Linked DNA regions of Lepisosteus oculatus. The protein of the gene in region 2 binds, or shares a complex with, the protein of the main gene of each other region. Links are inferred from orthologs where the notes say so. Each region holds a gene or a part of one and is shown on either strand. Other genes may lie near its edges. The genes, in order: bcl2-associated agonist of cell death-like, bcl2l1 and tpt1.

Region 1 (7,141 bases), on a different chromosome or scaffold from region 2:
TAAAGGGAACCCCTGGGAGATTTAACCGCTGAAGGTAAACGAGTGATTTGTGCAATTCAAGGGACGCTGGAGTCTGGGGCCTGGAAGGTGTTAAAGGGGAGCTGAGGTCCCCATTTCAAACAAAAAAAAAATCAAATTTCGAATTGTGCACAAAATCGGGAACTTTGCGAAAGTACTGCGAGTCAGCATGTTGTTGCAGATTCGCATCAGGTTCCCACAAATTGTGACGTGAAGCGGCCCTTCCTGCTCACTAGTCACTGTGATGACTGATGTACAGAGCTGTGAACCAGCCATTCCTGCTCACTAGTCACTGTGATGACTAATGTACAGAGCTGTGAACCAGCCCTTCCTGCTCACTAGTCACTGTGATGACTAATGTACAGAGCTGTGAACCAGCCCTTCCTGCTCACTAGTCACTGTGGTGACCAATGGACTGAGATGTGAGCCTGCCCTTTCTGCTTACTAGTCCCTGTGATGACTAATGTACTGTGATGTAGGAGTAAGTACAGGTTGTACAGCAGACTTTTCACCAGTAGAAATGCTCCAGCGTGATCTGATGGCAGAGTTAACAAGGGCAGAATTTCTACTGGATGAGAAGAGCTGGACTCACAAGCCTGCTTGTACACAGTGTCACAGGGCTGGAAGTATCGCTGCCTCGTTCTGAATCCCAGAACATGGCGCTGCGCAGACCTGGAAATGTCCCGTGTTTTGTGATGTCATTTGGAAGTTACCGTGTGTGCGCGTTTTACTGTCATCGCGGTCTGAAACGCACTCAATGATGCCGATTCTTTCTAGCCGCGAAATACAAAAATAGCGCTGCAGTTCCCCTTGAGGATTTTCATTCCCAGCGCTGTCCACCTTGTCCCACTGAAGAGTCACATCACCGCGAGAGCGGTACTGTCACTGGCGCGCCCCGGTGACCCCGGAATTTGGGGAGCACTGCTCTCACGCAGCCAGCCGGCGGGGGGGTCGTCCGCAACTCACCGGGAGGCCGGATCCCCGGGCTGCTGTGGGCGTGGCCCAGCGCGGGCCCGAGCCCCGCCTCCTGGCGGGGCCCTCTCCCCGCCGCGGTCTCCGATTGGGCGGGCTCGGCGACGTCATCCGAGAGGCCCGAATCGTCCGAGAGGCTGAACACGGGCGTCATGGCGACATCTGCAGAGGCGAGAGAGGGCACGCAGGTGAGTGCGGGGGGCTCTTCGGCCTTTCCGTTTCTACAGTGCACCACAGGAGCGTAAAAACACGGCCATTTTACGTCATTCAATTAAAGTGGACCCTGGGATCATATTTGAATGGTGTTTTAAGTCAGTTCCCCGACTATAGTCACAGGTGTTGATGTGCACTATAGTCACTGATACACAGGTCTTGTTTTGCACTATAGTTACTGATACACAGGTCTTGTTTTGCACTATTGTTACTGATACACAGGTCTTGTTTTGCACTATAGTCACTGATACACAGGTCTTGTTTTGCACTATAGTCACTGATACACAGGTCTTGTTTTGCACTATAGTCACTGATACACAGGTCTTGTTTTGCACTATAGTCACTGATACACAGGTCTTGTTTTGCACTATAGTCACTGATACACAGGTCTTGTTTTGCACTATAGTCACTGATACACAGGTCTTGTTTTGCACTATAGTCACTGATACACAGGTCTTGATGTGCACTATAGTCACTGATACACACACAGGTATTAATGTGCATTATAGTCACCGATACACACACAGGTATTAATGTGCATTATAGTCACCGATACACACACACAGGTATCGATGTGCACTATAGTCACTGACACACACACAGGTGTTGATGTGCACTATAGTCACCGATACACTCACAGGTATTGATGTGCACTATAGTTACTGATACACAGATCTTGTTTTGCACTATAGTTACTGATACACAGGTCTTGTTTTGCACTATAGTTACTGATACACAGGTCTTGATGTGCACTATAGTCACCAATACACACACAGGTGTTGATGTGCACTATAGTCACTGACACACACACTGGTCTTGATGTGCACTATAGTCACTGACACACACACTGGTCTTGATGTGCACTATAGTCACTGATACACACACAGCTATTAATGTGCACTATAGTCCTATAATCACCGATACACACACACATCTTGATGTGCACTATAGTCACCGATACACATACAGGTGTTGATGTGCACTATAGTCACTGACACACACACTGGTCTTGATGTGCACAATAGTCACTGATACACACACAGCTATTAATGTGCACTATAGTCCTATAATCACCGATACACACACACATCTTGATGTGCACTATAGTCACCGATACACACACATCTTGATGTGCACTATAGTCACCGATACACACACATCTTGATGTGCACTATAGTCACCGATACACACACACAGGTGTTGATGTGCACTATAGTCACCGACACACACACGCACGGTTACCGACAGTCAGGCACTGCCACGCACACGGTGTCACGCTGTACAACCGCACAGTGAGAACGGTGACATACGGGGCTCAGACCCACACGCTCGTGCCCTGGACGTTCGGCCCGCCGCCTCGAGACTTCCGGGTAGAAAGGAAGTTTTCCCGGAGAGGAGCTGGGAAAGACGGGCGCCCCGGAGCGAGCAGAGCCCAGCCCGGTCGCTGCAGGGTCTCGCCCTCAGACCCCAGCCACCCCCCTGGGGTGTGATGGGGGGGAGTTTGTACCCCCAGAAGGCGCCCGCTTCGGTTCTCTTTGGCTTTGCTACCTAACAGCTTCCCGGTCTGGAAAGCAACCTTCTGGCTGGGAACCTGGAGACACGCAGCTGAACTTTCGTTTGCTTTTTCAAAAAAAGCACTAAAAAAAAGCCTGCAATCCTCATCATGGGCGCCTGCACTCCCGAATTCAGTCACGACGCAGAACTGTTCTCCTTACCCGGACCGGCTGCGGCTGCTTGCTGGGCGATCGTTGTTTGGGCTCTCCGGCGTCAACAGAAGTAGGTCGGGTCCGGCTGCTCCCCAGCCCTTCCGCGAAGGCGCAGGTTTCGCTTCGCCCAGCCAATCCGCTCGCCCGCCCCCGGCCCCCGCCAATCGCCGCGCCGCGCCGCCCTGACGTCACTGTTGCGGGTCGAGGCCGGGGCCGCGTGCCTTGTTTACCAGCGCCGAGGGGCCGTAGTGGCGCGTGGCGCCGCGCACCCCGAAATCCAGCCCGGCCCCCCGGCCTTTGCACGAGCAACACCCGGTGCTCGGATATTTGACACACAAGGTCTGCAGCCCGAGCTGCGCCCTTCCTGACGATTTTCTGCTCCTAGGTGTTGTTGCGGACCAAATATTGCATCACTTGGTGCGCGTCAATCGCAGTTTCCCACCCGCTGGTGGATCTAGAAAACCGGTGGCTCTGCAGAGATTGCTCTCGGAGGGCTTTAGGACAGTGTCCAGCCTGTACTTCGCTCCCAGCCCTCGTATTGTCCTGTTTCCAAATATCTTGTCATGAAAACCTGTCATCGCAGCGTATTGGGTTGAGCTCTGTTTTGATTTGACTCTCGTCCTATATACTGTATGATGTATGCTGTATGATAGATAGATACGTGATTGATCCCGGGAGGGAACAGCAGCTTAACGCAGACCTCACAGCCACAGTGTAACGAATGATACAATAATAATAACACAATACAGTCAGTACAGTGAGAAGTGCACCAAGGAGAGTTACTCACAGTCCAGAATACACAAGGAACAAACCAGAACAGAACAGTACACATAAAAATCGTATTGTAGAATATGACTATAAATATAGATGTAAATATAGATAAAAATATCAATGTATTACACGGGTTCCTGGCATATATTGCACAAAAAACGGTTGTAACGGGAAAGAAAAAAGAACAGATGTATCAGTTTGCTGCTCAGTCCAGAAACAGGTCACTGTCGATGTTGCCTCTGCCCAGACACACAGTGGAGGCGTTGTACAGTCTGATGGCAGAAGGCAACAATGACCTCCGGTAGCGCCCCCTGTCGCACCGCGGATGGATCAGTCTCTTGCTGAACGTGCTCTAATTAGGGTGTTGTAATCAGGGCGGTGCAGTGGTGAGCGCTGGGGCCCTGGGTTCAATTCTGCTGTCTGGGTGGAGTCTGCATGTTCTCCCCGCGTTCACATGGCTCCAGGTGCTCTGGTCTCCTCCCACAGTCCACAGACATGCTGGGGGGGGTGGATTGGCTGCTGGGAAAACTGGCCCTGGTGTGAGTGTGTGTGTGTCCTGTAATGGACTGGTGTCCTGTCCGGGGTGTACCCTGCCTTGTGCCTGTTGCTTGCTGGGATAGGGTCCGGCTCTCCTGTGTTCAGAAAGCGAATAGTGTTGTAATTCTGCACAGTGTGCACAGGCTTCATGAGTGTTTATACCTGGAAATTTATTCTCATGTGGAAATGTTTTCTAACAAACCCCACAGCAGCTGGGCAGCCTTTGTGGTTCCTGAACACAGACATCCAGGGCCTCTGTCAGATCAGCTCAGACATTCCCTCAGAACAGTGCGACTCTGTTTTCACCATGGGGTACAACTACAGGACCAGTTAGAGCAGGGCTGTCCAGTCCTGGTCCAGGAGGGGTCAGTGTGTCTGCAACAGGGCTGTCCAGTCCTGGTCCTGGAGGGGTCAGTGTGTCTGCAGCAGGGGTGTCCAGTCCTGGTCCAGGAGGGGTCAGTGTGTCTAGAGCAGGGCTGTCCAGTCCTGGTCCAGGAGGGGTCAGTGTGTCTAGAGCAGGGCTGTCCAGTTCTAGTCCTGGAGGGGTCAGTGTGTCTGTAGCAGGGGTGTCCAGCCCCGGTCCTGGAGGGTCAGTGGGTCTAGAGCAGGGCTGTCCAGAGTCCAGTCCTGGGGGGTCAGCGTGTCCAGAGCAGGGCTGTCCACTGTCCAGTCCTGGGAACAGGAGGGGTCAGTGTGTCTGCAGCAGGGGTGTCCAGTCCTGGTCCAGGAGGGGTCAGTGTGTCTGCAGCAGGGCTGTCCAGTCCTAGTCCTGGAGGGTCAGTGTGTCTAGATCAGGGCTGTCCAGTCCTAGTCCTGGAGGGTCAGTGTGTCTAGAGCAGGGCTGTCCAGTCCTGGTCCAGGAGGGGTCAGTGTGTCTGCAGCAGGGCTGTCCAGTCCTAGTCCTGGAGGGTCAGTGTGTCTAGATCAGGGCTGTCCAGTCCTAGTCCTGGAGGGTCAGTGTGTCTAGAGCAGGGCTGTCCAGTCCTGGTCCAGGAGGGGGTCAGTGTGTCTGCAGCAGGGGTGTCCAGCCCCGGTCCTGGAAGGTCAGTGGGTCTAGAGCAGGGCTGTCCAGAGTCTAGTCCTGGAGGGTCAGCGTGTCCAGAGCAGGGCTGTCCAGCGTCCAGTCCTGGGAACAGGATTTGCTTGTTTATGCGAAGCTGATGGCCTCCTCTTGTACAGAGACTTAGTGCTCTATATTTAATGTTTTTCTTTTTAATTGAATTTCCCCTCATGACCACAAGATGTCGCTGTCAGATGGGGGAATCTCTCTTTCTCCCGGATTCAGATACTCAGCAGATATCCCAGCGCTGGCCTGCGATACCAAATCACAGCTCGGAGGAATAGCTGCCCTCCTCTCTTTAATGAGCGCACTGGCCCAGTTAGAGCATTTATTTCCATTAGAAGTTCTTAAGTAGTCAATACATTAAAGAGACGTTCAATCACATAAATGCACGTTTGTTTTTAAAGTCGGAGGGGTGCACGTTTTAAATCTTTCATTTGATATATGTGCTTTATGGACTCTTGGCGCTTGCTCAAGAGATCAGTCAAGTGCCTGACACTTTAATCACTGCTCCGACAGGCGCACAGTCCCTCACCAACACAACCTGTTCTGGAAAACACAGGGCTCTACAGCTGTACGGTAGGGTTCCTGTATGTTAGGGGCTCCAGGTCCAGTGCGATCCCAACCAGGTTTAACAACATGCAGGGTTCCTGTCTGGCAGAGTTCCAGCTCCAGTTTGATCCACTCCGGGTTTTACCAGCTGCAGGGGGCTCCTGTACGTAAAAGAGGCTCCAGCTCCAGTCCACTCCAGGCCAGGTTTTATCAGCTCCAGGGTTTTCTGTATAACAGGGGCCCTGATCCAGCTGGCTCTATATGTCATCATTAAGTCATCAGTTTTCCAAAACTTGCATCAGTCTCTTCCTGCTCGGAGAGGCCGGCGATTGGTCAAATTAAGTCGTTTCACCCCCTGGCCTCCACGACCGGCGTTCTCTCAATTGAACAATTGACTTTGATGAGCAGCTCGATGAAGCCCAGGTTTCCCCCAGCCCTGGACAGTGGTGACCTGTGGGGCCGACTGCAGCCGGGCCCTGTGGGACCAGGGCCAGAGAGCTCCACAACAGAGGTGCTGCCTCCGTCCGGCCGGGTCTGTTCGGGTCAGCACCAGAACCCCGAACCCCCCCCCCCACAGACTCTTGCGGAGGTGCGTCTCCTGTTTTTTAGTCCAAAATACACCCACCCCTGTGTCCATCCAGCTTCGAAGCCTTCCCTCCAGCCGCCAGCCCGATTCCCATTGCGGAGCGGTCGGATCCGCTCCGGGTCGTGGCGGTGGCCCGTGTGTGTGAGTGTTTCCTCCGGGTCCTCCAGGTGCTCCGGTTTCCTCCCACAGTCCAGAGACATGCTTGGGAGGTGAATGGGCTTCTGGGAAAACTGGCCCCGGTGTGTGTGTGCCCCGTGATGGACGGGCGTCCTGCCCAGGGTGAGTGAGTGTGTCAGCGTGTGTCCTGTGATGGACTGGCGTCCCGTCCAGGGTGTACCCTGCCTTGTGCCCGCTGCTTGCTGGGATAGACTCCAGCTCCCCGGTTCATGGCTTCAATGAAGATAAGTTAGCAGCCATATCACCCTGCAGCTCACAACTGGCAACCCACTGGAGCTCAGCAGGTGTGAGCTTGGTCAGTACCTGGAGGGGAGACTCCTGGGAAAGCTGAGGCTGCTGCTGGAAGAGGTGTGAGTGGGGCCAGCAGGGGGCGCTCACCCTGCGGTCTGTGTGGGTCCTAATGCCCAGTATAGTGACGGGGACACTAGACTGTAAACAGGCGCCGTCCTTCGGATGAGATGTAAAACCGAGGTCCTGACTTTCTGTGGTCATTAACAATCCCAGGGTGCTTCTCGAAAAGAGTAGGGGTGTTACCCCAGTGTCCTGGCC
Region 2 (7,516 bases):
CACTACCTTGTTCGAAACACGGCCACCAGGAAGCATTAAAAACAACTTGGCAACCAGAGTCTGTTTTTTTTCAAGCTCCAATATGGGGGCTCATTATAAGCTACAGGGTTGGTGTAGGGATCACACTAATTAAAGAATGAAAACAATCTGATGTCTGTTACTGTCTGACAGCGTTCATTAATTGTCCAGGACATGGCAGGAGAGTGTCTGACTGCTCTACACCACATCCTATCACAGCGCCACTGCTCATCTTCTCTGTGGCACCAAAACCCTTCAGAAATTAAACTGACAGGAATTCAATGAACTGCCCTGCAGGGAGAGATGACCACTGACATGGACAGACAGACAGGCAGACAGGCAGGGGTTTCTCAAGTGACCCCCGCAAAGACCAACTCAAAAGACCATATTGAGGCACAAATCAAGACGTACCCCCCACACCATCACCACCACCACACTCAGGGGCAGGCTGGGGAGGAGGGGTCAGAGGTCAGTGATGAACTCTCCAGTTACCTGACTCCTTGATTCCCCGATGCCAGCAAAGAGCTGCCAATGCCCCTGTCCAGAGCTGCTCAAGATGCTCAGATAAAGTACAAGTATTTCTGCTGCCTTGAACCACAGGGAACTGAGACATCACAAATTAAACCCCCAGCCAGGGAAACCTCTACAAACTAGGGTGTCTTCTTTCCCATTTCTAGTGTCTACTGTTTCTGTACACACGGACACGCAAAAATAAACATATTCACAGGCTGAACAATGTGAATAACACCAACATATGATATAATCACGCAGTTTGCCATTACCTAGTAATCTTACACACATAACATTCCCTCCATAACAAACAACACAGCCATTTATGTTTCTAAACAGGAATAAACGTTTTTCCGACGCATATAAATGTTCCTCGGTGTGACAAACACACATTAAGACTGAAATGATGATCAAAGCTGTTATTATTCTCCATGGCGCCTGACCTCATCCAGGTTATCAGAGGCGGCTAGCGAAAGGCCGGAGTATCTAAAACCTAACCTTTCCTATGTTAATCCTGGCATTTGGACTGGTATTTTACCGGCTACGATAACGACAACTTCCTCCACGACAGCTCATTTAAAAGCCCGATGTGAAGGGCCACGGCTCCCGAGACAGATTTACATAGAAATGCGCTATCACGGCCAGACGATCTTTGCCGGATTCCCCGGCCACATACAGTAGGTGTGACTGTGATTTGTGCGGTACCGTCTGCAGATAAATGAGACAAAAGACAGGCTCGACATTTCAGACAGGAGAAGGCTGACATTTAGGGATCCTAGGGTTCGCCTACCGGTCTCCCCTGCGAGCTGCTCTTCCTACCGGAGCGAAACACCGACAAGCAGCCTACCCCACCACACACACACACAATCGGAAGCAATCGCTAACTATTTTATTTACTCAAACACGCCCTGAAAAGGATCAACACCAGTGTCGGGGCTCACAGCGCACGCCGCAGCCAGACAAGAACGCCGTTTGCTTTCTGAAAACCTGCTGGAGAGCACTTTTTTTGGGGGCTCATCGGGAAAAATAAAAATCCAAGCAGAAAATAAAACCAGCACGCATCTCGCAATCCACTGCCGAACTACGGATGCTCCTCGGCGTCGGCGTTTCAATGCCTCGCAAATGGAGCAAGCGAAACATTCTCCATCAAGCCCAGCCCAAGGCTACGACGGACCTGAAAAGGTTCGGGGTGACACTCACCTCGGCAAATGAAAGTCCTGCTCGGTAGCAGCCCTGCGTTGTTTGCCTTGGTGGCAATACCGCTGGCTCGTCCCTATCCAGTCAATTGAGCTGGGCTTCCTGAGTCACTGCACGCTGTCAAACCCTGCAGCACAGGAGCAAAGCAGAACCTATTAGCCAATGCACGGCGCACACGGCCCCGCCCCCTCGCCGATGAAAGGGGGCGGGGGCAATTACGTCCTTCCTACCGTAATTGCACAGTTAGAGGCGCGCACCCGCACGCATGAGGCACAATTACGTCAATAAAACTATACATCTTTGTAAATCGATACGACACATTGCTCAAAGCAAAAAAAAACCGCGACGGTTACGAGTGCATATGAACTGTACATAACATAGTACATAGTTTAGTTTTCCAACAATTAAACGACTGCACTGGCCTATTTTTAAGGCGGACCAACCCAGGTGAGTAATCCATTTTAGGAGACAGTGCACCAATCACACACCACTAACCACTGTAACCCACATTAAAGTGGTTAATGACTACCCGCAACGAATTAAAATCGGCCCTCCACGGTGAGCCGGAAAAAAAAAGTCCCATTCCCCGTTACTCTGTTGTTTTAAGATTCTCAATTTACCTTTGCAGAGTCAACATGATTATAAACCCGTGTGCAGAAGAGGCAGGGAGCCCATTTCTAATTAACCGTCAGCACCAACGTAGTCCAGCCACACACAAACCACCTCTGATTGAAGAAGACCACAATTTAGCACTCGCACATAGCACTACCTACCCCATTCGTTTGAGTACCCTTCATAAATCATGGTCGCTTAACACTAATCAATAATACGGACTAGGATCCGACATTTTACTCATTTCCACAACCCCACTCGAGATCCAGAGGCCAGCCCGAGCCTCTTTGCGCACTACAATTTTCCTTCTGCAGGATATTCCGCCTTTGGGATGTAAAATGACACTTTTTAGACCAACCCTGCTCGAGTAACGACGGGACGTCATGCTTTTTTTACCTCGGTCTTGTGCACACTGGCTTGCAATTTGTAATGCACGTTTTCGGGAAAAAAAAAAAAGAAATCCCGCATTTACACAACGTTATCCTTCTTATGTCGCAGCAGTGTTTTCGTTAGCTAATCAAGGCAGGTCCCTTAACCAACCCCTGCAAAGCACAGTAAGCGTGTTCAATATGGTTACAGTCACGACGTCTGAAATAATGTATTTAAATCTGACCTGATTAAAGAACAGGAAGAGGTTGTAACGCCCTCGTCCGGACTGGTTTTCATCTTTAAACCAACACGGGGTGAAAAACGATGAAACGCTTTAAAATATCTCTATGGTAACGTTTGTTTCCTCTAGTGACGAACCACGCTTCTCCCACTCCCCCGTTTTGTTAAAGACACAGCGCCTCACCGTGGCCGCTGGGGGGAGGTACCACTGCAGGCAGTGAATACTGCCACTTCGCCCCAAAATAGATAGATACTTTATTGATCCCGTGAGGGAAATTGCAGTGCAACAGCAGCTTAACACACACACAACACAGCCACAGTGTAACGAATTATATAATAATAGTACAATACATACAATACAATACAAGAGTTACTCACAGTCCGGACACACAAAGAACAGACTAGAACAGAACAGTACACAGAAAAATCGTATCACACATATGAATATAAATATAGATGTAAATATAGATATAGATATAAATCTAGATATAAATACGTCCCTCTAATCCGTACAGATCCTGAAAATAACCATAGTCACAAGTCACGATATTTCAGATACGTCCTAAGTGATGGGTGACGAATCTTGATAAAAACAGTAGCGAATTAACACTTGTGTTCGGTTTTTTTCATCCTATAGTTAACTTTTATCTATCTGCTGAACTCTAAAACTGTACAAAGGTTAAAGTAGCGTGCGATGTAACCACATGTTTATAAAATCGGGTTCGTATTCAGCATAACACAATATAAGACAGGATGTCCTACAATGCAAAACAATACGAGATGACGAAAATACACCCGGGTCGTCCTTGATTGTTTTCACATTAAATGTGTCTGTTACACCAGAGATCTTTTCATAAAGCACCAGAGAACAGCACGAATTCCTTTCCTGTATTTGGTGAATTTGCATTAAACTAGCAAGCCAGCCGAGCAAGATTTACCGAATAGCCTCCTCTTGTGCCTCGTTTAAACTGTCTGCTTGGAATCTCTGATTCTCATGCTCTGACATGTTCTCTGAAACGGCTTTCTTCTTGGCTTTTAAGAGCGAGGGGCAATACATACGATTGCTGGACAGACACAATCTCTTCTGAGCTGTCCGATCTTAAAACGGTCAGGGGGTACGTGTATATATATGTGTGTGTGTGTGTGCAGTTGAGTATGTATTTGACATGACCGCATGAGAACATTTACAAACGAGAAGAGCCTATTGGATATTTAATAGCACACTGATCCAAGCATGCCATCGTCTTGAGGCTTCAACAATATGGCTGGGTAGCCCGTTCCACGATCTTACGAACCGCTGTGTTTTAAGTAGTTCCCCCTGCTCTCAGTTTTAAATGCACTTTCACCATAGCGTACACTTTTGTCCCCTGAATCGGGTTTTTTAAATGTTCATTCTGAAGTAGTTCGCTGGGTTGACTTTTTCATTTACAGCCTTTAGGATTCCTAATCCGTGCGTCAGGTTCGCCCTTAGTATGTGCTCTGTTCAAGACAGAAAGGAGGGCGGGACTCTCAGCCCCTCAGTGAAGGATATTATTTTAATCCTCGCAATATACTGTATAACACTATTGGTGAAGAACTGCACTAGATTCGACTTCCCAATTTTGTTCCCTTCTATATATTTTCCCTGAAATTCGAAGAAGGCTGCACGTTGCGTGTTTTCTTCTACTTTCCACTGTGGAATGAACAATCTGCTTGTTCTTTTCTAAAATGTAAATCGAGCATATGAATCTAGAGGTTTTGAAGCCGACACTCCACAGTTCTGCTCTTATCTTGCTCGCCCATCAATACAATTTCGTATAACTCGTTAGAAAGGGTTGGACAAGCTTTTCTCAAGTATCGACAAACTGGCCTACATGTCTTATATAGCTGATTTATGTAGATTTTAGATCCCCCCTTAATTCCACATCCTGCACGTTTGACCCAAACCCTTCCACGAAATGGTTATCAACACATCATCTTGACGCTCCCTAAATTTTTACGTCGGTAGTACGTGGCATGAAAAGACTACATTTCCCATGAGCGCTCAAGCCTACCCGAACGATTTCGGCCTCATCACCAATAGAAATGCGCCGAGGCTGCGAGTCGCCTGCTGATTGGCCAGTTTGGAAAGGGACGGATTTCAAATGATAACGGCGCTAGGGGCGGTGTTAGCAGACAGACATTTTCTGCAGAGCAAGTAAAGTAAGGACGGGGGAGAGTTATAACTTTTCTTTAAATACAGTGGATTTCTTACTCATCAGGGAAGAAACTTTGGAACAGGTATGTAATCGTGCATTTAAAATACACGTCTTTTATGTGAGTTGACGTACCTTGCTGGTTTTGTGGCTGAAATGAGTAGTTAGGGCTACTTTGTTGTTTGGCCTAGACGCCGAGCTGTGTCGGACCCGACCAGTATTGTTTGGGTTTTTTTTTTTGCTGGGGGTGTCGGGTGGATTGTTTCTATACAGTTATGTAATCTCTTGGGGGTGGAAAAATACTGCTGAAGTATTGAAAAAGAAAGGATTCTGCGTAGGAATAGGTTCACCTTAACGACAGCATCTCGATTTGCTTCAGTCAGCGTCGTCGTCTAAGGCGGACATCGCCTTTTTTCATATGCTATACCCAAGTAAATAGGATAGGACATAAATAACGCTTCATGCAGGTATATGTGTTTTTTTTTTCCTGCCCGTGATCGCTTCAAACTAGACCCCCCTCTTTCTGATCGGACTCTTAAGCGTGTAGGAGGAATCTTTAGCTCAAACATGGGTTGTTAGGTAAGCCCGGATGGGCTTCCACCTTGATTTTTTTTTTAAAAAAAGAAGTCACCCCAAAAATTCAGTCAGGTGAAAGGAGAGAGCAAAACGTACTTGGTGTGGTCTGGGCGTCGGGAGGCGGTTCGGTCAAAACTTTGAAATTGCGCGTCTCCAATCCGCTGGCAGTGAGTCTGTCCCTCCACCGGAAGAAGGACTTTTCCCATCTGCAAAGTGAGCACCCCCCCCCCTTAAATATTTATAAATACATACTATAATATTCCAGGGATACGACTGGATAGTGTATACCGCTGTAGGGATAAAAATCAGTCGGGAAAAGAAGGCAGGTGCTGCACTCGGGATGTAAGGTTTTATCGATTTTAAAACTTTTTCCCCCCCAGTAGGGACAGAGGAGCTCGGCACGGCGGAGAGATGGACATGCAGCAGGAGGTGTCGATGGCCGATTATGAGTTTGACGCGCCTTCGGTCGTGATTGATTTCAAGTCCCTGGACAGGGAGGACAATGCAGATCACTGGTTCGGTAAGACCGTCTCGGGCTTTTCGCGTTTTTTACACCCTCCTCTTTCTTTGTAAGCTGGTTATATCTGGGCTTGCCTGCCTTTTGTTGTCTGAAACATCTGTTATTGCTTTCAGACCAGATAGCTGAGCCAGAGTCCAAGACGATGGATTTGCATACCACTCCGTTTAAGGCTAAGGGAGAAGCAAAGACCGATGTGCCCAAAGCCTTTGTTTTACCCATGGTGCACGATGCCAATCGCGGGACAGGCAAGCATGTTTATTTGTCACTACCATAACATCCTTAAGTGAAAGCAAGGTCGTTTTCCTCTTGGTTAAAGCAACTTCAGGGCAAGCTATTCCAGCTTTCTGGGTGATGTCCCCTTTCAGAGTGCGGCGCCGAAGGAGAGAAACCGTCTGCTCCTGCTGTTTCTTCAAACTTGGTGACCTCCTGGAGCCACTGGCCATCTACAGACAACCAGCCTCAGAGAAAGGCTCTTCCAGCACAGCCCAGGAGGTAGGAGGAGCCTCTGTCAGACAGTCTTACATGCTGGAATTAAAAATGGGATGGGGGGAGAAATGCACAGTCTTGTCCTGTTCTGTTGGACTGTGCTTTCCGGTTTTGGAAATTGCTGATCTGAGTGCCACTTCGTTCACCCGTGGCATGGATCTCCCCAAGAGCTGGTGAATTTTTACTTGGCGGATAGCTTCTCAGAGTTCCACATGGTGTGAAATTACAGATCACTGTGCACTGTCCACCAAGGGCGGGGGGAAAAAAAACCCTCTGAATTCAGGAAAACACTTTTTAACTTTCTTGTTGGCGTTGACTGCTCTGTCCCTCACCCGTTTAGAGTTTCTAAAAGATTGTCCGGCCATCAGAAGATGGAAAACCAGCGGAAGCAAATGGCCAAAATTCGTGAGGAAAAGAGGAGGAGTGCAGCAGCCACTGTTCCTCATGCAGGAGACCCTCCTGTTAAAAAACTAAGAAAAAGGTAATCTCAAAGGAACTCGACGATGCCTGGATTTTCTTTTTTTGTTGTTGATCTGTGCCGTACAGCATGTAGCAGTAATTGAACTTTGAGTTCTAGCAAACAATGTTTTCATGTATAAAATCTCATTACTGACAACAGGTATTAATATAATGTTATGAAACTGGTAAAAATCAGCAATTGACCGAGCAGTTTAGTGAGTAAGTGAAATTATTATTCATAACCCCCAACTTGTACGTGATTTCTAATGATATTCCCAAGTGGCTGGCATAACCAGAGGCACGTGAATGCTGTATTCTCTATCACAGCTTTGTTGAGAGGAGTAATTCGGCCCAC
Region 3 (7,636 bases), on a different chromosome or scaffold from region 2:
TGCCTTCAAGTAAGCTCGGTCGATTCCAGCTGTTTATAAACTAGTATTCATAGGTTATCCTCAAGCCAGATCACCAATTCTTAAGGAATCAGTTTTTAATGTTGACAACATCCAACTACTCTTCCAGGCTAAATCTAATACTGCATTTGCCATGCCTACCGTTTAACGATTGGTTAGATATTAATTATGGAAGCGTCAGCATTTACATTAAACAGTAGCATGGGATTGTATTACTACTCCTCCACATTGTCTGCATAAATAATGTACATGAAGTTTAGTGAACAAAGCATCTATAAATTCAAGATTAGTCTTAAGGCAGAGGTTTTTTCAAAAATACCAGTAATAATTTTTATTATGAAAACCAGTCTATCTGATGTGGTCTATGCGATACAGCATCTAGAAAATTAATGAGAACACTGCAGCGTGACATTACAGACATTCAGTCTGTCAATAGCTCAAGTCTGAGTCAGCTAAAAGTACTATTCCTGTATTTGCTTCCCAGCACTGGTTAGCTGATTAGGATTAAGACAATAACCAAAATGGGTTTAAATGATCTGGCTCCAGCACATATCAAGGACTTTTTTACTGCAAGTCTCCATTTCATCATCTGAAATCTAGGGATTCAGGTGTTTATGTATTTAAGACAAAACATTGTCCTGTTCTGCCTTCTGCTTGGATCTGGAAATGTGCAATTCTTTAACCATATCTGGGAGCATCTAAATGACCTTTGAAAAATCTTTTCAGTTCTCAGGTTTCAACATAAGGTAGGTTAACAGCGGTCTCCAAATATATTCAATTTACCTTCTATTTACAGTACTTCAGGATAATACCATCTGGTCTTCCAGCCTCAACCACAATCTTTGGAAGTTATTGAATTTAACACATTAACGGTACTTTTATATATGTTCTCCAGCTGTCCATTTTACTCCAATACCACAACACCATGACAACTTGAAAATCTATACTTCCACTGTCTTCTAAAAACAGTCCAAATACCCCTCACAGCACCTGAAATCTTTTACTACATCAGAATTTCAGTATAACATATAAAGTTATACAAACAGCTACTTCCCAAAACACGAAACTACATTATGATCTTAAAGGGTTCTTCTGTTCAAAGCCAGATGAATGCAAACGCTTTGTGAATGGACAGTTAAAATGTCTGGCTTTTCCCCCCAATAAGGGACAAAAATAATTCTTATCAAAAGGGGAAAAAAAGCGTGTCTTCCTCTCTTCAATCTGAGCAGCTACGGACAAAGATGCACAGAAAGCGCGAGGAAATTGCTCTTGCATCGACACAAAAAACCCTTCAAGCCACTTTCCCAAGGCTTTGGGCCTGTCAAGCGATGCAGCCAGCCGAAGGCGGCGATCCGGTCCCCCGCGCTCACTCACGTCTTCATGTAGTCTTTGATGTATGACTTGTACGTGTCCTTGGTGAAGCCCGTCTCCTGCAGCTTGTGGTTCAAGACGATGTCCACGCCGCTGACGGTGCTGGCTTCTGTGCCTTCATCCTGGAGTTCAGCTGACGCATTGCCGCCGATGAGAGAGTCGTCAATGTCCTCTGACCTGCTGACCACCTAAAACAAAGAACAAAAGCCGGGGGGTCTACAGGAGCCACTCAAACTCTATGCAGACGCCCATCTCACGCGGGGCTCTCAAAGGCCACAGCTTCAACCTAGGCTGCTCACTTGGCATGCCGGCCTCCCTCCTCTCTCTTAAATTTCACTCTCTCCCACTGACCTCAGCAGCTACAGAACAGAGTTGGAATCCTTTCAGTCATACAAGCTCTTCATTGAAAGGAAAAAGTGAAAGGATGACTAGTAGCTATAAATCCACATCTGGAGCATTCAGTTATTTCAGAATGGAAGCTGTGCTTCCATTTCCCATTACTTCACTATAACCTAGAAGCCTGAAACGATTTACTTTATTTTTTAACACCGCACTCTTTGTGTGTGTGTGGAAATCAAAGCATCTGCCGATTTCTAAAGCTCCCATTCAACCCGGAAACGTTCCCTCGTTCGTCACGATCACGTCAGAGAAGCGCCCCACTAAACACACTCGCAGTGAACAAGGCTGATTCACCCCCCACACCCAGCCCCACAGTTTCTGCACACCTCGGCCTCTTGCGAAAACCCCTTACCTTGCCTTCGACTTCGATTAAGATTCCGTTGGGCGACTCCATGATTTTGTAGATGTCAGAGAACATCTCATCTCCTGCAGGAAAGAAAATTGGTGACGTGAATCCGACTTCCAGCAGCCCTCACTGAACTTCCCGGCTCTAGAGCGGGATGCCACTGAGCTCCGCTATTTTCACACCCCGCCTGAATATTTCTAGAAGAGGTCCCGCCACATTCCGACAAACAAAAGCATCAATACTTCGGCCCCTCTTAAAGCGTAAAATGCGTCCCAACTGGGGGCAAAAGGTAATAAAAATTTCCTTCGCGTTTTGAATTACTTTACAACGAATAAGATACTAAAGCAACCGATTTCACTATTCGATTGAGTAATATTTCAGTCTGCCACGTACAAGTAAAATACTAATGGAATTTCATGAATAAAGCCTTTATAGGGGGGGTACAAACCGGCCCCCGAAGTTTACTTGTCGTTAATACCGCTTAGCTAAGAAATCGTATTAAATCACTTGCTTTTGTCTTTCTTTAGCGGGACTGGTTAAAAACCTATAACACGACAATATTTTCAAACGAAAAAGAACAAAACCATGGTCAATCAGCATCCTGCGAGTTCAGTATCAAGCCGGGGCCTACGCTACTAGGCCTCGTAAAACACGGGCATAAAAAAGTGAAATATTACGAATTAATTCTTTCCACGGTAAGAAATAGACACAAAATCTAAATCTTAAAAACTGCTTCTTCTGAATACATCGCTTTCTTACCGGTGATGATATCCTTGTAGATGATCATTCTGCTGGATTGTGTTTTAAGGGTTTGATTCAAATATGGCTCCTGCTCTCCCCACTAGCGGATCTGGCTGAAAAGGAGCGATATACTTTTTTTCCCAGCTTAGATACTGGCAGCATCGTTGACGTCATTGAGCCACAAGCTTTGAAACAAATTTGCCCCCTGGCGGTAATATAGAGGGGTTAAAATGTATCGCTTGTCTTCTACGGTCTTTGAAGTGCGAAGCGAAGAACCAACAAACTTTTTTTTTTAATCGGCAAAATAAGATCCAAGTCTGGAGCGGATTTCTGAAACCTGGTTTGCATAACCACATTTTTATTAGCATTACAATACTTTATGCAACATTTCGAGAAGTGCTCAAATCGAGCGATTCTCGTTCTTAATACTGACCACCTTAAATTAATCGGTCTGTAAAGCTCTAACACTATCATGCTATTACGGTAAAAATTGTGGATGATTTTTCGAAGTGGTGTTCCCACTCCGCCCATGAGCTCGGTGTCTCCTTTTTACTTCTAAATATCAAGCCCTTATGTATTGACCAAACCCATACAAAAATCGATCGTTAATAACGGTCTAGGTTAAATTAAAAGGGAAAGATGTTTGTTTTAGGTAATTACCTGTGACATTATGGCTTTCATTTTGCAGGTACCGTGCAAAGTACCGATATTCGGGTGACCTTTTGTGATAAATCAAATCAAATCAAAGTTTATTTATCAAACGCACAACAATACGGCGTGCAGCAGTAGATGCTGGCAATGAAATGTCTTTTTCTGCGAGCTCACATAAATCACAAAAATTCACAAAAACATAAAAATCACAAAATTGAGGTTACATTTTTAAAATTGAATAGAACTCAATGTGAGCAGAGCTGTTATGTGTCCATGGTGTATGCAATATATACATGTAGTCCAGTTATGCTGAATATAGTTAGAATAGTTATTGTGTAGCCTATAGTGTTAATCGCTGCCTATGTGTTATGCTCATTGTTTCGTTTCTTTTATGTGCATGATGCCTGACAAGCCCTAAATGGTATCATTTTTTATGTTTTCTTCTGTACAAAAACACAATCCTAATTAGGCACAGTGGTAAGCATTGCTTCCTCGCAGCCCTGGGTTCAGCTCCTGGGGTGCTGTCTATGAGGAGTTTGCATGTTCTCCTCTTGTTCATGTGGGTTTACTCCGATTTCCCCCCACAGTTCACAGACATACTGGTAAGTTAATTGTCTTCTGGGGAAACTAACATTGGTGTACGTGCGTGTTTGTACAGGGTGATATCTTGCCTTGCGTCTCTTGCTTGCCGGGATAAGGCTCCGGCTCCACCCTGTACTGGCTAAAGCAGTTAAGAGGACAGACGGTACTTTAAAAACGCAGACCTGCATAACCTGTTTGCTGCTTTGCGCGCATTTGGCAAATCCTACCACCTGAAGGCTTCACTTAACTATTTTGAAAAGTATGTACTTGTAAAGTATGTAAAAAAAAACAAATCTCTTGCCGTTTTCGCACCAAATAATATTGAAATAAACAATCGAACAGACTGACTAAAATTAAGGCCCATAAAATAGCATGGCTTGCCATGGTCTCCTGTACAGGAGTCAAGCGCAAACTCTCAGAGGCAGTTTTAAAGACAAAAGTGCTCCCGTGTTGTATGCATGTCAAACTTTTGTTTTTCTCAAGTACCGCTCTGATAATTGCAAAGCCTAGCCTACAGAACCCGATTCATACCCGTCACAAAATGGGTGAAACCGCGAGCAAGTCAGTGAGAATCGGTCAGACCCCGATTTTGTTTAACAAAATAAACTTTATTCCACAATGTATACCAATCGTACGATGAGTGCACACTCTAAAATATCATACAATCGTCTACTAAGTTATACACATTCTTAAAGGGATAATTGTCCACTTTCAGTCGTTTCACTGTTTCACTTGTTGTGGCATGATTTGCATAATAAGTCACTTGTCCATGTCTGTTTTCCCTGCTCTGGCTCTGAAACTACGGTCAAAACCAGATACACCGAGAGCCCGAAGGCTTCTGCTGCAGCTGTAGAGCACGTTTGAGGGGTTTGTTGTAGTCGACTTGATGACGTGTTTGCAGACAGTGGAGCCAGTGGAAATTACGGGGTACGTGTCTGAAAGTGTCTTACAATTACCTTAACTCAACTGACTCAGTCATTATTTAATTTATTTGTATATTTACGCTATTGTGCCTGCTTGATAGTGCCTTCTGCTGGTCCTTGAGTGTACATTTTCTTTGGAAATACTAAGCAACAGAGAAGCATTGTGTTGTTCGATGTTGGGCACCGCTCAGTAGAATAACTTTCGAGTGGAAACCCTCTGTGTCATCAGGATAACGAGGATCCTCACCACGCCAAACAACTACCTTGACTACATTGCCAGAAATCGGAAAGAAGAACAGTTTTTCATTAAGTTGGCCAGTTGTACGAGTGCCTTGGCCTTACATGAATTTGAAGTGTAGGGTGATGAGCTTGGCGGGCCCGCAGACGGCAATAATGTTCTCTGAGAGAGGTGACTAGGACGGGGTGGACAAAGCTGATGGCAGCATTGGTAAAGCGGTGTGACAGAAGGAGGAATCCGTGTATCCTTTGCCTGCAAACTGGAAAAGGGATGGCGTATTTTGTTGAAAAGGGGCTGTAACCGGCGTACAAAACAATACCGTGTTCCGTTTACTTTTCCTAAACAACGATCTGTAAACTACGGTTTATTATCATAAGTATAATATTAAAATTATAATAATTAAAACTCAAAAGGCAGCACCTTACTATGTGACATCGATTTACTTCGTTGTGAAAGGGAAGGGCTGTCGGTCTGAGCGGATGGGGGTGTGTGAGCAGAACTACTGGGCGGGTTTGTTGCAGAGGGTCTGGATGTCATTTGTGAGAACTTGACGGAAGAAGCGCGTATGATGCCACCGCACCACGAGTGAAATTAACTTGTCTCTTCCTTAATCCGATCCGTTAGCTCGAAAAGACCATAAGATGTGCTTGAAGGTGAACGCATGAAAACAATTAAGCCTTGCTTTTCACGCAGACTTAAGTAGAACCAAACCGCAGCAAGGGCTTTTAAGCGTTTCGAATAAACGACACGTGTATGGTTCATTATTTCTGCCATAACTCGTCAGTGCCTTTATTGAATTTTCGTATTTCTCGGAGTGAAGGAACGTGGACGGATCAGTCGATTTCGGCGAGAAACACGGTTTTTAAAGCAAGCTCCTGCATTGCAAGTAAGTAGCTTTTCTATATCCGCTGTTCTCCTATATTCTCTTGCTAAGTAGTTTTTATCCCGTATTACTGTTCTGCATTTGAGGTAGTTTTGTATCGCGTGCGTTGTTCAGCATCAAAACATTTACAGGAAGTGTTTATTTTTCAACTTCAACGAAAGACGGTATAAACAAGCTGTTTAATGAATGCAGCAATCGTGTTGAAATTTTGGGGGATATAAGTTCCAGGTATGATACAATCCTAAAAGTGCTACGCAGTTTCTCTGCTCAAAGACTCGTTTTTACTATTTATGTAAGTGTGATAATATGGAACTTTTTTTTTTTATTAGACCCTAAAAGGCATAGCCCACAATTCGTGGACGCTTTGGTATGGATGGAGCTAAAAACATATTGCTTTTTTGTGCATTAATTGAAATGCGAAGCTTAATTTCTTTTTATTCCATGTTAATATTTCCATTTTCAGAAAGCTTTTGTAAGAAACGGCAAATCCCCAACCCATAAAGGCGTAGGTATCAGTGCAATGCAAAACATGTTTTTTTTAAATTGTTAAGATAAAATTATTAATATGATTAGTTTAAGGTAATATGTATTATTTTAAGTGTCTGGAAACATCAAAAAGATTGAGCGGGAGGCTATTGTTTCTGCTTTTTTTCTAATACTTTTACATGTTAGGACTCAATGGTGTCGTTTTTAAATTGGACCACACAGAGGAAGTTGCCCAAATGTGACAACAGCCCAGTGTCTCCACGGTCAATATACAGTAGTATATAAAGATGAAGAGTGATGGCAGACATATATTTTGTCTGTATAATTAGGAAAGCAGCTGTGAATGTGTGATCCTTGCTGATAAATTTGGGTACAATTAAACTGCTGCTTAAATTTAGGGCACATTCCATTTACAGTAAGATCTGTGCAATCATTAAAGTTAACTGTGTGTTCAGAGAAACCCACATATGTATAATGTTCGGACTTCAAGGGCTTTAGCCTCACTTAGTTTCCAGTGGCCAGTGAAAGAAGAGAGTCTTGTCAGTGTCTACTAGGGATTACAGTGAAGACAAATAAAATCTCTTGTCCTCTGTTGGACTCTGGAGGGCACATTAATACTTATTTGTGGCAGAGGACACAGAAGGTCATGTAGTTTCCAAAATTCTGCATTGGCTTTTCATGTGCTTTCCTCTGTGCCGCCCATGATCTGATTTTTAAAGTAGTGGTTTATATCTGCTGTTTAGTGTTTCACATCTTTTCATGTTGTTGCTTTTGCACGCACTGCTTTTCTTCGTAATTCTTCGTAATGGCCGACTGGGGGAAGGGGGAACTTGAAAAGACTTGTTTGAAAGGTGAAGGAGAGTGAATGGTATGTGGTTGTACTGTAGCTCCACATTCGATAGGTACTTGTTTTCCAGTTGCATGAGAAATCTTAAATTGCTTGTGCACCAGGCTGGTACAGTGCTGATGTGTTTTTCCTTCATAAAGTCTTGCGCCTG

Evidence for each region.
Region 1: the proteins of bcl2l1 (region 2) and bcl2-associated agonist of cell death-like are in contact, whole or in part, in a crystal structure (PDB 2BZW), measured with the Mus musculus proteins. The link is inferred for Lepisosteus oculatus from reciprocal best matches to the Homo sapiens genes BCL2L1 and BAD. Residues at the interface, in NP_001276645.1 of Mus musculus: Ala93, Glu96, Phe97, Arg100, Tyr101, Arg103, Ala104, Phe105, Leu108, Gln111, Leu112, Gln121, Ser122, Gln125, Val126, Glu129, Leu130, Arg132, Asp133, Asn136, Trp137, Gly138, Arg139, Val141, Ala142, Phe146, Asp193, Leu194, Tyr195, Gly196; in NP_031548.1 of Mus musculus: Ala137, Leu141, Ala143, Ala144, Gln145, Tyr147, Gly148, Arg149, Leu151, Arg152, Met154, Ser155, Asp156, Glu157, Phe158, Glu159, Phe162, Lys163.
Region 3: the proteins of bcl2l1 (region 2) and tpt1 are in contact, whole or in part, in a crystal structure (PDB 4Z9V), measured with the Homo sapiens proteins. The link is inferred for Lepisosteus oculatus from reciprocal best matches to the Homo sapiens genes BCL2L1 and TPT1. Residues at the interface, in NP_001304848.1 of Homo sapiens: Ala93, Glu96, Phe97, Arg100, Tyr101, Ala104, Phe105, Leu108, Gln111, Ser122, Gln125, Val126, Glu129, Leu130, Asp133, Asn136, Gly138, Arg139, Val141, Ala142, Phe146, Leu194, Tyr195, Ala199, Ala200, Ser203; in NP_003286.1 of Homo sapiens: Phe14, Asp16, Ile17, Lys19, Ile20, Arg21, Ile23, Ala24, Asp25, Gly26, Leu27, Cys28, Leu29.

Annotation. Positions count from the first base shown.
Region 1 is NC_090713.1:21,769,176-21,776,316, forward strand, and holds the start of bcl2-associated agonist of cell death-like, read right to left. Parts: upstream 3,051-7,141; 5' UTR 2,919-3,050; intron 1,153-2,918; 5' UTR 1,145-1,152; coding exon 985-1,144; intron 1-984. UniProt on the Homo sapiens protein: Promotes cell death. Successfully competes for the binding to Bcl-X(L), Bcl-2 and Bcl-W, thereby affecting the level of heterodimerization of these proteins with BAX. Can reverse the death repressor activity of Bcl-X(L), but not that of Bcl-2.
Region 2 is NC_090711.1:3,270,875-3,278,390, reverse strand, and holds the start of bcl2l1 (bcl-2-like protein 1), read right to left. Parts: upstream 3,085-7,516; 5' UTR 2,951-3,084; intron 2,872-2,950; exon of another isoform or gene 2,734-2,871; intron 2,655-2,733; exon of another isoform or gene 2,499-2,654; intron 2,493-2,498; exon of another isoform or gene 2,346-2,492; intron 1,853-2,345; 5' UTR 1,729-1,852; intron 1-1,728. Other genes in the region: tpx2 (targeting protein for Xklp2), read left to right, coding at 6,108-6,216, 6,330-6,461, 6,582-6,708, 7,043-7,183. UniProt on the Homo sapiens protein: Potent inhibitor of cell death. Inhibits activation of caspases. Appears to regulate cell death by blocking the voltage-dependent anion channel (VDAC) by binding to it and preventing the release of the caspase activator, CYC1, from the mitochondrial membrane.
Region 3 is NC_090710.1:16,166,224-16,173,859, reverse strand, and holds the start of tpt1 (translationally-controlled tumor protein homolog), read right to left. Parts: upstream 3,005-7,636; 5' UTR 2,922-3,004; coding exon 2,894-2,921; intron 2,424-2,893; exon of another isoform or gene 2,258-2,423; intron 2,215-2,257; coding exon 2,141-2,214; intron 1,578-2,140; coding exon 1,393-1,577; intron 1-1,392. Other genes in the region: kidney mitochondrial carrier protein 1, read left to right, coding at 4,995-5,035. UniProt on the Homo sapiens protein: Involved in calcium binding and microtubule stabilization. Acts as a negative regulator of TSC22D1-mediated apoptosis, via interaction with and destabilization of TSC22D1 protein.